2 linked regions of the Xenopus tropicalis genome follow. The protein of the gene in region 2 purifies or fractionates together with the protein of the main gene of each other region. This does not show direct contact. Links are inferred from orthologs where the notes say so. Each region holds a gene or a part of one and is shown on either strand. Other genes may lie near its edges.

Region 1 (8,053 bases), on a different chromosome or scaffold from region 2:
CATAGAAACTCAGCTCTAGCTGCCTGCTTCAATTTTTTTCTCCTGAGCTCAGCTTTACCATTACACTGCTTAAACAAAGCAGAACTTTTTATCAGAGACAGTTCTGCCTTTGTGAGCCTGTATTATTGATGAAATGTATGCTGAATAATGGTCTGTGTGTGTGTAGGCTGTTTGCAGATTTAAATGAATCGGATTATGTATCAGAGGAAAAATGGCCACCGGGTGAAAGTTGCTATTTACTTTAGGAAAATGTGATAGTGCTGGCAAGAGGAGGTGATATATGCAGTACAAATGATGCCATTTGGGTGGGGGAGACGTGCCCAACTGATATACATTGTAGGTAAATGTAGGCTTTACATGTCCTTTAACTTTCAGCTATAAGGGTGGCAATAACACAGGCGAGTGTGCCTACTAACCCTTGCTTGTAGGAACACTCCAGTTACTTACAACATGCAAAGAAAACTTAAAGGAAAAGGAAAGGCTAAGTCACTTGGGGGTGCCAAAATGTTAGGCACCCCCAAGTGACTTTAACTGCTTACCTTTTACCCCGGGCTGGTGCCCCTGTTAGGAGAGAACCGAACCTGCGAGCATCTCCTCTTCCTGGTTCGCACGCTTGCGCAGTAGAGTGAAAAGCTGGACAAAGAAGTCTGCTTTTCACTCTACTGTGCATGCACCGGCCCAGGGATTTTCCCGGCAGAAGGAAAAAGGAAGCGCTCACTGCAGGTACCCAGGGCTGGTGCGGTAAAAGGTAAACGATTAAAGTCACTTGGGGGTGCCTAACATTTTGGCACCTTTGGAAGTAGTAGTCAGCACAACACCTTGTATTTAGTTTGTAACAGTGCAGGTTTCCCAATGGCCACATTCCATCGGCATATCCAGGTACAAACGATCCGGAACAGCACCTCTTACATTTTAAATTAAAATGCCTTTATTGAAAGTTTCAGGGGCAAACAGCAGCAACGTTAACATTTTGGCTTCCCCAAGTGACTTAGCCTTTCCTTCTCCTTTAAAAAACATCTCTAATACTAAAAAATGTTTTCATCAAATTTCTAAATACTGTTCAATATCAATAAAATGCTGTGGTAGAAGTTGAATGTTAACACTACATACTCTGTGAAACCTTTCCATTTGAGATAATATTCAACCTTTCCATTTACTACACGTCTGTCCAGAACTTTTTCTACAACAAATTCTTCAGGCTCTGCTTCCTCCACTTTCTTGCCCTTGCCATTCTGTTTCTTTCCCATGGTCTGTGGAAAAAGAAATATATATTGGTTAAGTATACATATCTATTTTGTAAGAAGGAAACTCAAAAGGTACATTTAAAAAAAAAAAAAAAAAAATTTAGTACATCTTAATAGTTCGACCAATGGCTTAAAGGGCAAATATACCCATCTTTGTTCCATTGTGAAGTGATTCTGCGAAAATCCCACAGCTTCCCAGAGAATGTGCACCACCCGCTACGGAAAGCAGAGGGACTTCAATTTGCAGAATTAATCACCTCCTAATGAAAGGTGATGTCTGTAAATATAAATATATTATTTTATTACAATTTGAAAGTTCAGATACTACTTATTCTACATGTCAAGAATAAGGTATATTTTCCCTTTAACATAGAAAGCATTAGAGCACTAAAGTTAAGGGACACTTAAGAACTTATTTAAAAGGTGAAACCAGATAATTGCTTGACAATAATGTATGTATGTCAAACTAAAGTGCACACGTAATATTGTTTATGCCCTCAAAGAGAGGGATGCTCCCCCCCCCCTCAAAACAATACTGCCTGTCTTACAACATAAGTCCTTCACATATGCTATATAATATACTAGAAATAGAAGCTAGAAATCAGATTGTTACCATGTTAATTTCTAATTGTGGAAGTCCTCCACTCTTCATCTTTACTTCTGACTTCCAAAATACTGCCTGGCTGCTAGGATTATTAGCCCAGCAAAAATAAACAAACCTATAAATCAAAAACAGTTTCTACAAATGAATGTTCACAAGTACAAATGGTGGTTAACACTCACATCTGCTACATCAACAGCAAAGTTACATATTTTAGCATGCAATGCATCTTTAAGGTCTAGCCATTATCAGGTCCTGACAGCATGTAGAAATTTTTAACCACACATCAGTTTATAACTAAAACAATTTTAAAAAGAAGCTGTTTGCCTTCCAAACAGATTTCAGTTCAAGCGTTTTCACATAGTACACCAGAAAAAAACTAAGCTCGAGTGTGTTTGGAAAGTAAACAGCCCCTTTAAGATAAACATGCACAAAATGCATGCTTAATGAATTACATATAGGTCCCATTGCAGTTGCAGCCTTTCTATAAAAGGCATACACTAAGTTGAATAAATTCCTTGTGGCCTAAAGCCAGACAGACTATATCTGGTCTGACTCACTGCAGCTAGCCTGTGGCAGAATAAGTAACTTAAGGGCAAAGACATGCAGGGCAATTAGTTGGTACAATTGAGATTTCTTGCACAAAACAAAAGCAGATATTTTCATTTGGGTTCCCTTTCATTCAAAGTTCCCGTCCCTACAATCAAGGTCAAAACAAATCAGTTGCCCACTAAGATTCCTTGCCCAGCTGCAGCCTGTAAGACAGAGATAAGGAACAGCAGTAGAACGCAGATCTGTTTTGACCTTAATTATACAGCCAGGAAGTAGAATGCAACTTTGTTTTAGATTGTGCCAGTTTACTACAAGAAATCACAAGAATGTTTTTCTTAAATAAGATAGAAGTGCATTTGGCACAAGCCCTATTCACTGGGGTGCACTACCCCTTTAAGAGACATTTAGATATCAGAAACATATGTTACAAGACATGCATTATTAATACAGTAGTTATCAATATAAACCAATAATTGTATATGCAATTAGTACTCTCCATTTCAAACTTTCCTGTTAACATTAGTGTAAAATGGCACTTCAGACTGTTGGTCACATGAGAGAATTTCCAGCCTCCTGCTCCCTGATTACATACAGTACAAGTTCTTAGCACAGTACACACCGTGCCAGCACTGCCCACTGATAGCTGCTATGCTTGATCCTACCTAACCTAATAGAAACACTCCTCTTCTGTAAAGGAACAGCCCCTAATACTGTGAGCACCATTCCAAAGACAATATGCACCACTTTTTCACAGCCTTATCAAAATTATCCCAACACAAACTGTATTATGCTTACAATTAGGTGCTAGCTCCCTGCTATGTAGTAAGTTATAATGTTAAAGCACAAGGGTGCCAATAAGTTAGAAAATTATTTCTTTGGCCAACTATTCTCACAAAAAGTGCCAGACTTTACCCAAGGATTCCTAGCACAAACTTGCACATGTCCAGTTTAATAAAAATTTTCCAATGGTAGTATACCGTGCTTGTGCTAGTCTGTTTACACTAGGAATTCCAGGGAAAAGTGCAGTATTGTGGTATCACTGCTACTTAAAGAGCTCTAGGCTGGCACATTTTTATTCCAGAGATAAAAATAAAAACCTAACCTCTGTCAATTAGGTTTTCTTGAGATTTAATTTCACTGGAAACTATGGGGTATTATCCCAAACCTTAAGAGACTGGTTTTTCATTTGATTATTAGAACAGGTTCAGCACTCAAAAGGCAATTCATTGCTCCAGAAAAAGGACTAATCTAAACACCTCTAAGTGACTACCTGAAGATTCTGGCCTGTTTAGTGCAAAGAAGAATAAAACAATATAAATAATTAACACAGGGAAAAATGAAGTTCAATGAGACATTGGATAAGTGGAAAAACCCCTAATTTTGTAGGCACTTATGAATACTATATGGTGCTGGTGTCACTTCGGGCTAAAAATTAATCCTATCTGTAAAAAGGTCTCCTTTACTGGAGCTCCATGTAGATCCTATCAGTCTTCTGTGCTTCAAATGAAGGGCGGGAGTATCCTAACAGTTGAATTCACAAGCAAAGACATACTTCAGTTCCCTATTGGGTCCGCCTAGCGTAGGTTCCTATCCTACAGTGCAGTGTGCCAAGAGCCAGTGGTTCCCCTGCACATCCAGAGATTTCAGCCTGCAGGAAGTGGAACAGATGGGCGGGACTAGAGGGGTCTGTGTATAATGTTTCAATAAATCAGTCTGAAACAACTATTTTAAAGCACAATCCTTCTATATTTAAAGTATAATTCACTAGTACATTCTTAATTTGTTATGATAAGTCTCCTTTCAGCACACGCCCTTATCACTAAGCCAATCCTATAAACACGGGATACACTGTCCCTTGAAATGAGAAAGCGGTCTGCCGTGAGGCGAAATTCTGCCATACCAGAAACAAAGGCAGGAATTTTCTGCTGTGACTGCCGTGCGAGACTCCATAACCCCCCCGCCCCCCCATACAACATTAGCGTGAAAGCAGCTCTGCGCAACGTGCATCCAGATAAAGTTTTACGCCGCTTCACCTCCCAAGCCGGAAAGCAAAAGCATCCCCCACCCCCTCCAACACGCATGCGTACATGTGAATGAGCCGCAACATGATTGATTAACCGAATGTATTCCGGAGGGAGATGAGGAACACACATTCACGGAAACTAGAGATTAGACTGTCGCAGGGGAAACTGCATGGCACAGTTGGAAACCATTATAACCAGCGGCACCGAGCTTTCCCTATGATTGTCCAGCCCGGGTAGCCATTGCCCTGTATACCCTTTACTTTCCCTACTAACCACCTAGAGGCCACGAACCTTCGCGCCTGCGCACCCCCCGTACCGAACAGCATTAGCTTCATTGTAAAGAAACCCAGTGATACAGAGAAACTCAGGGGGTATCCATCCTAGCACTATGTGAGAGTTACTGTGCGCTGCACCGGGCATGGGAATACTGGCGGAATACCACTAACACTGCTAGCGTCATATAAGTGCTAGGGGGCCGCTCTTCATTCGGCAAGATATATACGTGAAATAGAAAGTTGTGACTTTTTCTGCCGTTGAACTACAGCTCCCAACAAGCCCAGGTAGCGGTGAGCAGCAATTGAAGACAAGGCAGTATGTTTGCAGAACGGCCTCCCCGCCCTTACACAATGCCTCCCACCCATTGGTCTGTGCTGCTACTCTGCAGCAGGCCTCCGCTTCTCTCCCAAACTAGCAGCAATTTTCCCGCCTCCCCAACCCTGCCGGGCCGTGCTTCTCCCATGCTGCTCCTCTCCCTCCTCATGCCCCCGGGTACAACATTCCTCTCTCTCATCCCCGTACCTCACTCTCTTTGGATAACCAGCACCCGGTGACTCCTGCTCCGTCCCCCTCACACCGAGAAACGCTCTCCAAGCCGCGGCTGCCTGCAGCTCCGATGTGCGCAGGAGTGGGAGGGCCCGAGTGACGCGCAGAACAATGGGCCCTACCAACACACTGGCGGGGAATTTACTGGCGCGAACAGTAACTCTTTCAATACCATGGGTCTAAGGGAAGCGGCACCCTGACAAAATAGGACAGCCTGCCTTGAGGGCAGTTAATGTCAATTCCGGTACAATCTACACGGGTGTAGTTGAAGAGCCCATGAAGTCAGGGTCTTAATGATAAAAGAAAACCCGAATTATATATTTAATAGTAGTGAGTCACGTGTTGAAAGGTAGGTCCCAGGCTCCGCCCGCCTCTGTCGCTCCTCGTGTAGGTGTCTGACTGATACATGTCGTTTTGTTTGCAAATAATAAAAAAAAAAAAAAAATGCTTGAAATATGTGGCATTGACACATATTTCACTTCACTAGGCCGCCATTTTCGTGTATTTTACGAAGGCACTCCCCTGTCTGTCCAGTGTATGCGTTTCATCATCTGGACGTTCTAGGTATACACTGGCAGCTGAGCAGTCACATCACCTACACAGAAAATATTTATGCTTACAAGTGCAGGGCAGTCTGCCAAGTGCAATTTCAGGCAAACTTTGCTGTAAATTAGATGCAATTGCGCTAAAAAAAATTCTGTCCATTTAATATGAGAGTGTCAGGAACCTATTCTCTAGATGCAAGTGCACTGCACCTATCCAGGGGTGTTTCTTGCCCCTGAGCCACCTGAGGAGGTTCCTACCATGCCTTTACAGCACGGGAGGGGGTCCAGGCATGCCACATCGCTAGTGTAGAGAGTGCCATGGCAATCTCTGCTATAGTGCAGCAAAATTTCCCTTTTAAAAACCAGAAATTTGGCTCCTAAAGTTGTCAGGAGCGGCTATTTGCCTCCCCTGGTAACTTCGGGGGTGCTGCTGCCTGAGGCGAGTTTTTAAACTCGCTTCACAGTAACTGTGCCCCTGCACCTATCGCCTCAGACGGCAGAGCCTGGCAAGTTACCAGGGGCAGCAAAAGTCACTCCTGGTAACTTAAAGGAGAAGGAAAGGCAAAGTCACTTGGGGGTGCCAAAATGTTGGGCACCCCCAAGTTACTTAAATCGCCTACCTTTTATCCCTGACTGGTGCCACTGTTCGGAGAGAACAGCACCAGCCCGAGGTAGATGCAGCGCTTCCTCCTTACATCTTCGCATGCGCAGTAGAGTGAAAAGCCGAACTTTAACAGAGAAGTCGCTTTTTCACTCTACTGAGCATGCGCCTGTCATGTAGTACTTGCAAAACGAAACCGGAAGGAGGAAACGCTCACTACAGGTACCCTTGGCCGTTGCTCTTTTCTACTAACAGGGCCACCAGCCTGGGGTACAAGGTAAGCGATTAAAGTCACTTGGGGGTGCCTAACATTTTGGCACCCCCAAGTGACTTAGCCTTTCCTTGTCCTTTAAGGAGCTGAATTTCTGTTTTTTAAATCAGAATTTCGGCTGTCCGCACTAGCAATGCAGCCCCCCACTGACGCAACAAAGCTAAGCGCAAGGGGGCGGCATTAACATGGATGCCTGAGGCGGCACAGAGTGCTAAAGGGAACTCTGAAGCTACCACCTGGTCCGTACATGGCAGCACCAGGGTTCCTCTGCATCAATATTACATTTGCGTTCAGTATGGAACAGGAAGGCCTGAGTGGTGCAAAGTGCAACTATACAGAAATGCAAAGAGAGCCCTTTGAAGCAAAGACTTTGCATGCAACTGAGGCCAGAGAATTTTGCGCAATTTATCAAACTCTTCTTGCATAGCGGTCGCTCCAGCAGAATAAAAAGTTCAATGCAAATGTCACCTAGATGACTCTTAACTGAATAAACCATGCAACTTTTCTGTAAAGCAATGGTGTATATAACTAATGCACTTTTTCTTTTAACACTGTTGTTGGCAACAAGCTTGTTCTCCTTTATGTAAACCATTTACATTTTGTGCAATTGCACTGCAGAATTTTGCTGTAAAACCGTGGCAAACCACCAATTAAGCTTCCTAGCAAACTGATGGAAGGCGCCAATAACACCAAATTCATACATTCTGTGTCTGCTAATGTCATTAAAGGACAAGGAAAGCCACAAAATAAGATTTATCCCATCTCACAGGTGCTTTAAAATAATGCAGCAGGTTTTTAATTTTAACGGGAAGTTAAGACAAACAAAAAGACATCACTTTATCAAAAACAGTTTCTGAGGCTTGGTACATGCACACATCTGTTGTTCTAGCCCAATGCATGCGCATAATTAACTAGAAGATTTCCATGGTGCTGATAATGCAGAAAGCCATGTGCAATCCTCAGCACCAATAATGACCTTGGACTGCCAACCACCTTTCATCGTTGGTCCAGTAAGATTAAGGGCCTCTACATTATGGGGGAGATTTACAAAGACCCGAATGCTTGGAACGTTCATGCAAATGCTCCGAGCGTATTCTCGCCGTTTTTTCGCGCTTGCGCGACTTTTTGCGTGTCCGCGTGAAAAATTCGGAAAGGCCCTGCCGCTGTTTGCAATGGTTTGGTATGAAAATTCCGTGATTTTCAGATCGCCAATACGATATTATCGTGACTAATATGATTTTTTCGAAAGCAATTTCGTGATATTTGCGATCTTCAGAAATTTTCATTTCCAATCCGAATTTTTCCCATTCGGGATTCGAACTTGTGTTTTGATAAATCTGCCCCTAAGATTGTGACATAAACAAAGTTAGTGATTGGTGCTAAAGGTGCAGTA
Region 2 (7,953 bases):
TTGAAAGTTGCTTAGAATTGCATTTCTTTTCATTATGCAAAAAACTTTTGTAGATGAGAGTTGCATATCCTGAGGGAACATGGTTTGAAGAGGGAATGAAGCTGGAAGCAGTTGACCCACTAAATCTTGGCAATATCTGTGTTGCTACTGTCTGCAAGGTAAGGAATACACTGATAGTTCAATAAAGAACACAATTCATCATGCTCCATCGAGTGCCCAGAGAACCTAACAAAAATCTGCAGATTATTTTTATGTTATATCAAAATACAATAAAGTACATTTCTTGTGCCCAAATGCTAGAGCACTAAGGTGTGCAAAATTACACTTTATTATTAGAGCCCATGCATAGAACACTGATCCATTATTCAGTTATTGCTTACACCCTCTATCTTTGTACACTGTTTCTTTGCTGGCACCATGTTAGATATAATTACTATTATACTACTACTTATACTTTGATGTTTGTATATTTTCTTTTTGCAATCTGCTACAGATTCTGTTGGATGGATATCTCATGGTGGGCTTTGATAGTGCACCTTCTGCTGATGGCTCAGAGTGGTTTTGTTACCATGCCTCATCACCTTCTATATTTCCTGTAGGATTCTGTCATCAGTATGATATTGAGTTGACACAGCCTCCAGGTAATTTCTATTATTTTAAATGCATTTATATTGCAAGCCACATATTTGTATTCAATAAGGAGGCGAGCAGAAACATGGTGGTTGTAGTGGATGTGATTTACTTAAATTTTGCTAAACATTTACAGAAGTTTAATGATTATATTAAGTAATATTTGCTGTGAACATATATATTCATAGATTGGGAAGCTGGACTTGGATTTCTTATTATTGAGTGCTCTTCTGATATGTACTGGGAGCTGCTATCTTGCTATCTTCCCATTGTTCTGATGATCGGCTGCTGTGAAGGAGACGGAGGAGAAAGATATCACTCCAACTTGCATCTCGGTTATAAAGTGTGTCTAAAGTTTATCAGAGCACAGGTCACATGGCTGTAGCTCCCTGGGAAATGAAGAATATGGCTAGCCCCATGTGAAATTTCAAAATTCAATATAAAATAATGTGTTTTTGAAAAACGGATTTCAATGCAGGATTCTGCTGGAGAGGCTCTATGTATATAAACTATAGTAGCAATTTTGTAGCAAAGACACTAGTTTTACCAGTGTAGGGCAACAATACATTTTAATTACTTTAAAACACTTTCATTTTTGATGTTACTCTTCCTTTAATATAACAGAGGTTAAAATAAAGAACTACTGATCACTTAATAAATGTAAATTCATTGCTGCTGCTAGAGTTACAGCCATATACACTGGGGTGTGCCTTCCATCCAAACCTAATAGTTAATATAAGTATATCCTATATATTGTTGGATTATCCTAAACATCCATTAGGGCCACCATGCACAGATGTCCATAGCCATGTTTAAATTGTTCAACCAGCATTTCAGAAGTCTGGAACTGTTAATAATCACATGTAGGCAAGGACCATTCATAGTGTATAGTTGTCCTGTGACATTCACACCTGACAAAAATTGCAATAATCATCCTTGCTTTTTCCCCCTTCAAATAAAAAGCATGCAATTTTTATTTTGACCTGCAGGCTATACCAAAGAAACATTTTCCTGGGATGAATACTTGGAGAAAACTGGTTCCAAAGCAGCGCCTGCTCGATTATTTAACCATGTAAGTTATGGCTGTTTCTAATACATCACCATATACAGTGGTGTGAAAAACTATTTGCCCACTTCCTGATTTCTTATTCTTTAGCATGTTTGTCACACAAAATGTTTCTGCTCATCAAAAACCGTTAACTATTAGTCAAAGATAACATAATTGAACTCAAAATGCAGTTTTTAAATGAAGGTTTACGTTATTAAAGGAACAGTAACACCAAAAAATGAAAGAGCTTTAAAGTAATAAAAATATAATGTACTGTTGCCCTGCACTGGTAAAACTGGTGTGTTTGCTACAGTAACACTACTATAATTGATATAATAAGCTGCTGTGTAGCCACGGGGGCAGCCATTCAAGCTGGAAAAAAGGAGAAAAGGCACAGGTTACATAGCAGATAACAGATAAGTTCTGTAGAATACAATAGTGTGTTATCTGCTATGTGCCTGTGCCTTTTCTCCTTTGAATGGCTGCCTCCATGGCTACATAGCAGCTTATTTATATAAATTATAGTAGACTTTCTGAAGTAAACACACAACTTTTACCAGTGCAGGGCAGCAGCACATTATATTTTAGTTACTTTTATACACTTTCATTTTTTGGTGTTACTGTCCCTTTAAGGGAGAAAAACTCCAAATCTACATGGCCCTGTGTGAAAAAGTGACTTAACTGTGGTTTATCACACCCCCAGTTCAATTTCTGTAGTCACCCCCAGGCCTGATTACTGCCACACCTGTTTCAATCAAGAAATCACTTAAATAGGAGCTACCTGACACAGAAAAGTAGACCAAAAGCACCTCAAAAGCTAGACATCATGCCAAGATCCAAAGAAATTGAGGAACAAATGAGAACAAAAGTAATTGAGATCTATCAGTCTGGTAAAGGTTATAAAGCCATTTCTAAAGCTTTGGGACTCCAGCGAACCACAGTGAGAGCCATTATCCACAAATGGCAAAAACATGGAACATTTGTGAACCTTCCCAGGAGTGGCCGGCCGACCAAAATTACCCCAAGAGCGCAGAGACAACTCATCCGAGAGGCCACAAAAGACCCCAGGACAACTTCTAAAGAACTGCAGGCCTCACTTGCCTCAATTAAGGTCAGTGTTCACGACTCCACCATAAGAAAGAGACTGGGCAAAAACGGCCTGCATGGCAGATTTCCAAGGCGCAAACCACTTTTAAGCAAAAAGAACATTAAGGCTCGTCTCAATTTTGCTAAAAAACATCTCAATGATTGCCAAGACTTTTGGGAAAATACCTTGTGGACCGACGAGACAAAAGTTGAACTCTTTGGAAGGTGCGTGTCATTTACGTGTCGTTACATCTGGCGTAAAAGTAACACAGCATTTCAGAAAAAGAACATCATACCAACAGTAAAATATGGTGGTGGTAGTGTGATGGTCTGGGGTTGTTTTGCTGCTTCAGGACCTGGAAGGCTTGCTGTGATAGATGGAACCATGAATTCTACTGTCTACCAAAAAATCCTGAAGGAGAATGTCCGGCCATCTGTTCGTCAACTCAAGCTGAATCGATCTTGGGTGCTGCAGCAGGACAATGACCCAAAACACACCAGCAAATCCACCTCTGAATGGCTGAAGAAAAACAAAATGAAGACTTTGGAGTGCCCTAGTCAAAGTCCTGACCTGAATCCTATTGAGATGTTGTGGCATGACCTTAAAAAGACGGTTCATGCTAGAAAACCCTCAAATAAAGCTGAATTACAACAATTCTGCAAAGATGAGTGGGCCAAAATTCCTCCAGAGCACTGTAAAAGACTCGTTGCAAGTTATCGCAAACACTTGATTGCAGTTATTGCTGCTAAGGGTGGCCCAACCAGTTATTAGGTTCAGGGGGCAATTACTTTTTCACACAGGGCCATGTAGGTTTGGATTTTTTTTCTCCCTTAACAATAAAAACCCTCATTTAAAAACTGCATTTCGTGTTTACTTGTGTTATCTTTGACTAATAGTTAAATGTGTTTGATGAGCAGAAACATTTAAGTGTGACAAACATGCAAAAGAATAAGAAATCAGGAAGGGGGCAAATAGTTTTTCACACCACTGTACCTCCCTTTATAGGAAACACCCTATTCCCTTATTAGGTATAGGACCAGGGCAAATGTTGCTCTTGTTACTAAACTTGATACTATGCAGCCACTAGCTTTGCATCTCAATTTCTGTTATCAGATCATCCCTTTAAATAAGGGACACTTAAGAAAAATACATTTTAAATCGATGGTAATTTGATCCATTTATATAATAGAGAGTCCAATATTTTTAATAATTCATATAATTTTTTTCTCTGTTCTGGCCAGGACTGTCCTAACCATGGCTTTGAGCCAGGTATGAAACTGGAAGCAGTGGATCTAATGGAACCACGTCTTATCTGTGTGGCAACTATTACTCGAGTGGTCCAACGTCTGCTCAGAATTAACTTTGATGGGTGGGATGTTGAATATGACCAGTGGGTAGACTGTGAATCCCCTGACATTTATCCTGTAGGCTGGTGTGAACTGCTTGGATACCAACTTCAACCCCCTGTGGAAGATGGTATGAAAGTCATTATATTGGTATTTTTTGTTTTTAAATGCACTTGTTTTTAGTATAATCTTTGCTCTGCCATCTCTCCTCTACTTTGTGCAGGTCAGTTCCATGTCAAAGTAAGTGATGTAAAGTAATAACAAGGAATTGCTGGCATTTCTTGTGCCACAAATATTAGTTTTTTTCAAGGTTACTACATACGCTTCCTGGGAACACATGCCCAGGATATTATTAAAGGTCCCAGGTCAAGAACAAAATTTCAATTTTTTTAGAGGAAAAATTATGATAGAAAGTTATAGATACATACAGTGGCTTGCAAAAGTATTCGGCCCCCTTGAACTTTTCCACATTTTGTCACATTACAGCCACAAACATGAATCAATTTTATTGGAATTCCACGTGAAAGACCAATACAAAGTGGTGTACACGTGAGAAGTGGAACGAAAATCATACATGATTCCAAACATTTTTTACAAATAAATAACTGCAAAGTGGGGTGTGTGTAATTATTCAGCCCCTTGAGTCAATACTTTGTAGAACCACCTTTTGCTGCAATTACAGCTGCCAGTCTTTTACCAGCTTTGCACATCTAGAGACTGAAATCCTTGCCCATTCTTCTTTGCAAAACAGCTCCAGCTCAGTCAGATTAGATGGACAGCGTTTGTGAACAGCAGTTTTCAGATCTTGCCACAGATTCTCGATTGGATTTAGATCTGGACTTTGACTGGGCCATTCTAACACATGGCTATGTTTTGTTTTAACCCATTCCATTGTTGCCCTGGCTTTATGTTTAGGGTCGTTGTCCTGCTGGAAGGTGAACCTCCGCCCCAGTCTCAAGTCTTTTGCAGACTCCAAGAGGTTTTCTTCCAAGATTGCCCTGTATTTGGCTCCATCCATCTTCCCATCAACTCTGACCAGCTTCCCTGTCCCTGCTGAAGAGAAGCACCCCCAGAGCATGATGCTGCCACCACCATATTTGACAGTGGGGATGGTGTGTTCAGAGTGATGTGCAGTGTTAGTTTTCCGCCACACATAGCGTTTTGCATTTTGGCCAAAAAAGTTCCATTTTGGTCTCATCTGACCAGAGCACCTTCTTCCACATGTTTGCTGTATCCCCCACTTGGCTTGTGGCAAACTGCAAACGGGACTTCTTATGGTTTTCTGTTAACAATGGCTTTCTTCTTGCCACTCTTCCATAAAGGCCAACTTTGTGCAGTGCACGACTAATAGTTGTCCTATGGACAGATTCCCCCACCTGAGCTGTAGATCTCTGCAGCTCGTCCAGAGTCACCATGGGCCTCTTGGCTGCATTTCTGATCAGCGCTCTCCTTGTTCGGCCTGTGAGTTTAGGTGGACGGCCTTGTCTTGGTAGGTTTACAGTTGTGCCATACTCCTTCCATTTCTGAATGATCGCTTGAACATTGCTCCGTGGGATGTTCAAGGCTTTGGAAATCTTTTTGTAGCCTAAGCCTGCTTTAAATTTCTCAATAACTTTATCCCTGACCTGTCTGGTGTGTTCTTTGGACTTCATGGTGTTGTTGCTCCCAATATTCTCTTAGACAACCTCTGAGGCCATCACAGAGCAGCTGTATTTGTATGTGTGTGATCCATTATCCAGAGGAAACCAGTTATCCAGAAACTTCCAAATTTTGCAAAGGCCATCTCCCATAGGTTCATATTAATCAAATATTTTTCCTTATTGTCTGTGATAATAAAACAGTACCTTGTACTTGATCCCCACTAATATATCATTAAAGGAGAAGGAAAAGTAAAAACAAAGTAAAATTTATCAGAAAGGTCTATGTAAATACAGCCATAAGCACTCACAGAAACGCTGCACTCTGTCAAAAGAAACACAGGATTTCTTGTCTTCTTTTGTGAACATATGTTCTTCAGTGTCAGACTTCCCTCTCTCACAATAATTCTTCAGGGCACATGCACGAGTTTGCTCCTCTCTCCCTCTTTTCCTCCTTTCCCTACCATGAGAATTTGCTCCCTCTCGAATCTTTGTAATCAGAGCTACCGGCAGCGAAAGCTGCAGCATTGAAGCTACTGAGACCAAGCTAAAATGGCAGCTGCTATCTTAAACAAACAGAGGGAGCTTCTAAGGTTGGTTTACTCAGGTATGGTACAGCTCTCTACAGAATAAATATAGCATTCTAGCATAAACTAATTTGGCTTATCTTTTGACAGTAAAATACCTTTCCTTCTTCTTATTGAAGGCAAAACAATCCTGTTGGGTTTTAATTAATGTGTATATGATTTTTTTTTAGTTCTAGATCTGGAAGACCACAATAAATCATATGTTTGATGAAGCTCTAATGGCTTCTAGTTATTGCTGGGTGGACTGCACCTCAGTGAAATGGCTGTTTCCATTTAGATTCTGATTCTGCATTGCAAGGACTTATTTTTAACTGTTTTGGCAGGAGATCCCAAACTAAGTACAGTAGGGCAGTGAAATCATTATCCACCAACATCAAAAACAGGAGAAAAACAAAAAAAAAAGTCAATGAAAAAAAAATACGTTAAGAACAATCTACTTTATTTAAGCAACACTTTTATGTCCTTAGGTGTTTCATGCTCCATGAGCACTTAGGCCAGTAATTGAAATCATTACACTAAATTCCTGTGGTTGGGTCTGACTCAGTAAAGCATGATCATTAATGGCTGTACAAAAATATATAAAGGGTAATGCAGACACTAACACAGTTAAAGTGGATACAGGAATATAAATAAAGCCATTATTACTCCAGCCTATTAGAGGTTTGCTCCCCTGCAAACCTTTATGCGCAGCAGACCATTGTGGCCACCAATAGGGTTAGCACCAACACTGTATTTTGCAGGGCTTTGGAATCAGTTCATAAATCCTTTAACTCCAACTGCTCAGTTAATGATACTTCCAACTCCAGGTACCCAAATTTACTTCTAACTCCACAGCTCTGTATCCCTAGGCACAGGCCCTTGAGTGCCTATATGGTAAATACGGCCCTGGCTAGAGCATGTCCCTACAGAGATAATTATGGGCGGGGGAAGATTTAAACATCTCAACAGTGTTTCTTCTTGTGTTTAAATACAAAATTGCAGAAAGGGAGTCTAAGCACCCTATTGATTCCTATTCCTACACAGGAATGAACCAGTATCGCTGTAAGTTAGTTTCCAGTAATAAGATAGTTACTTAGTAAAAATTGGTAATACCACGTTATAAAGCATTCTCATGTTTTGCTTATCTCACTTTCCCACCCCACTGCAATGATACACTGTTCTCTCTCACATGTAGAACCAAAAGAAGAGCCAAAGCCTAAGGAAGTCAAGAAAAAGAAGAAAGCTGCATTTGGAAAGAGAAGTAAGAGTTCCTCTATCAAACATTTATTTTCGTAGCCAGTTGTGCCAAGGTCATTTGAAATTCTGTTCCAAGAAAGAAATGATGGTCTGTCATCCTTGTTCCTTCCTCTTTCTGCCTTTCTTTTACTTCAACAGTTGTCTGTGTGTGATGAGAGTGGGAAAGCAAGACTAAAGCTGGCATAAACATAAGATCACTTGTTCAGATCTCTCCCTGATCAGTGGGCGATATCAGGCTGATACGATCTTTTGGCCCTAGGACCAAATGACCAGACCACAACAATGGGGATACAGGCCATCTAGAAGACCGCGTCAACAAGCTGATACAGTCCTCAATCCGACTGAAAAATCAAGCCTACCCTATTGATATCTGGCTGATTAT

What was found.
Region 1: the proteins of l3mbtl2 (region 2) and cbx3 purify together in Homo sapiens (affinity purification with mass spectrometry; 5 studies listed by BioGRID and IntAct, with this or other methods). This does not show direct contact. The link is inferred for Xenopus tropicalis from reciprocal best matches to the Homo sapiens genes L3MBTL2 and CBX3.

What each region holds. Positions count from the first base shown.
Region 1 is NC_030682.2:41,661,975-41,670,027, reverse strand, and holds the start of cbx3 (chromobox protein homolog 3), read right to left. Parts: upstream 5,266-8,053; 5' UTR 5,220-5,265; intron 4,372-5,219; exon of another isoform or gene 4,348-4,371; coding exon of another isoform or gene 4,298-4,347; intron 1,964-4,297; coding exon of another isoform or gene 1,858-1,963; intron 1,422-1,857; exon of another isoform or gene 1,407-1,421; coding exon of another isoform or gene 1,392-1,406; intron 1,251-1,391; coding exon of another isoform or gene 1,248-1,250; coding exon 1,111-1,247; intron 1-1,110.
Region 2 is NC_030680.2:115,998,603-116,006,555, reverse strand, and holds part of l3mbtl2 (lethal(3)malignant brain tumor-like protein 2), read left to right. Parts: intron 1-53; coding exon 54-158; intron 159-493; coding exon 494-641; intron 642-1,619; coding exon 1,620-1,702; intron 1,703-4,006; coding exon 4,007-4,241; intron 4,242-7,509; coding exon 7,510-7,575; intron 7,576-7,709; exon of another isoform or gene 7,710-7,953. UniProt on the Homo sapiens protein: Putative Polycomb group (PcG) protein. PcG proteins maintain the transcriptionally repressive state of genes, probably via a modification of chromatin, rendering it heritably changed in its expressibility.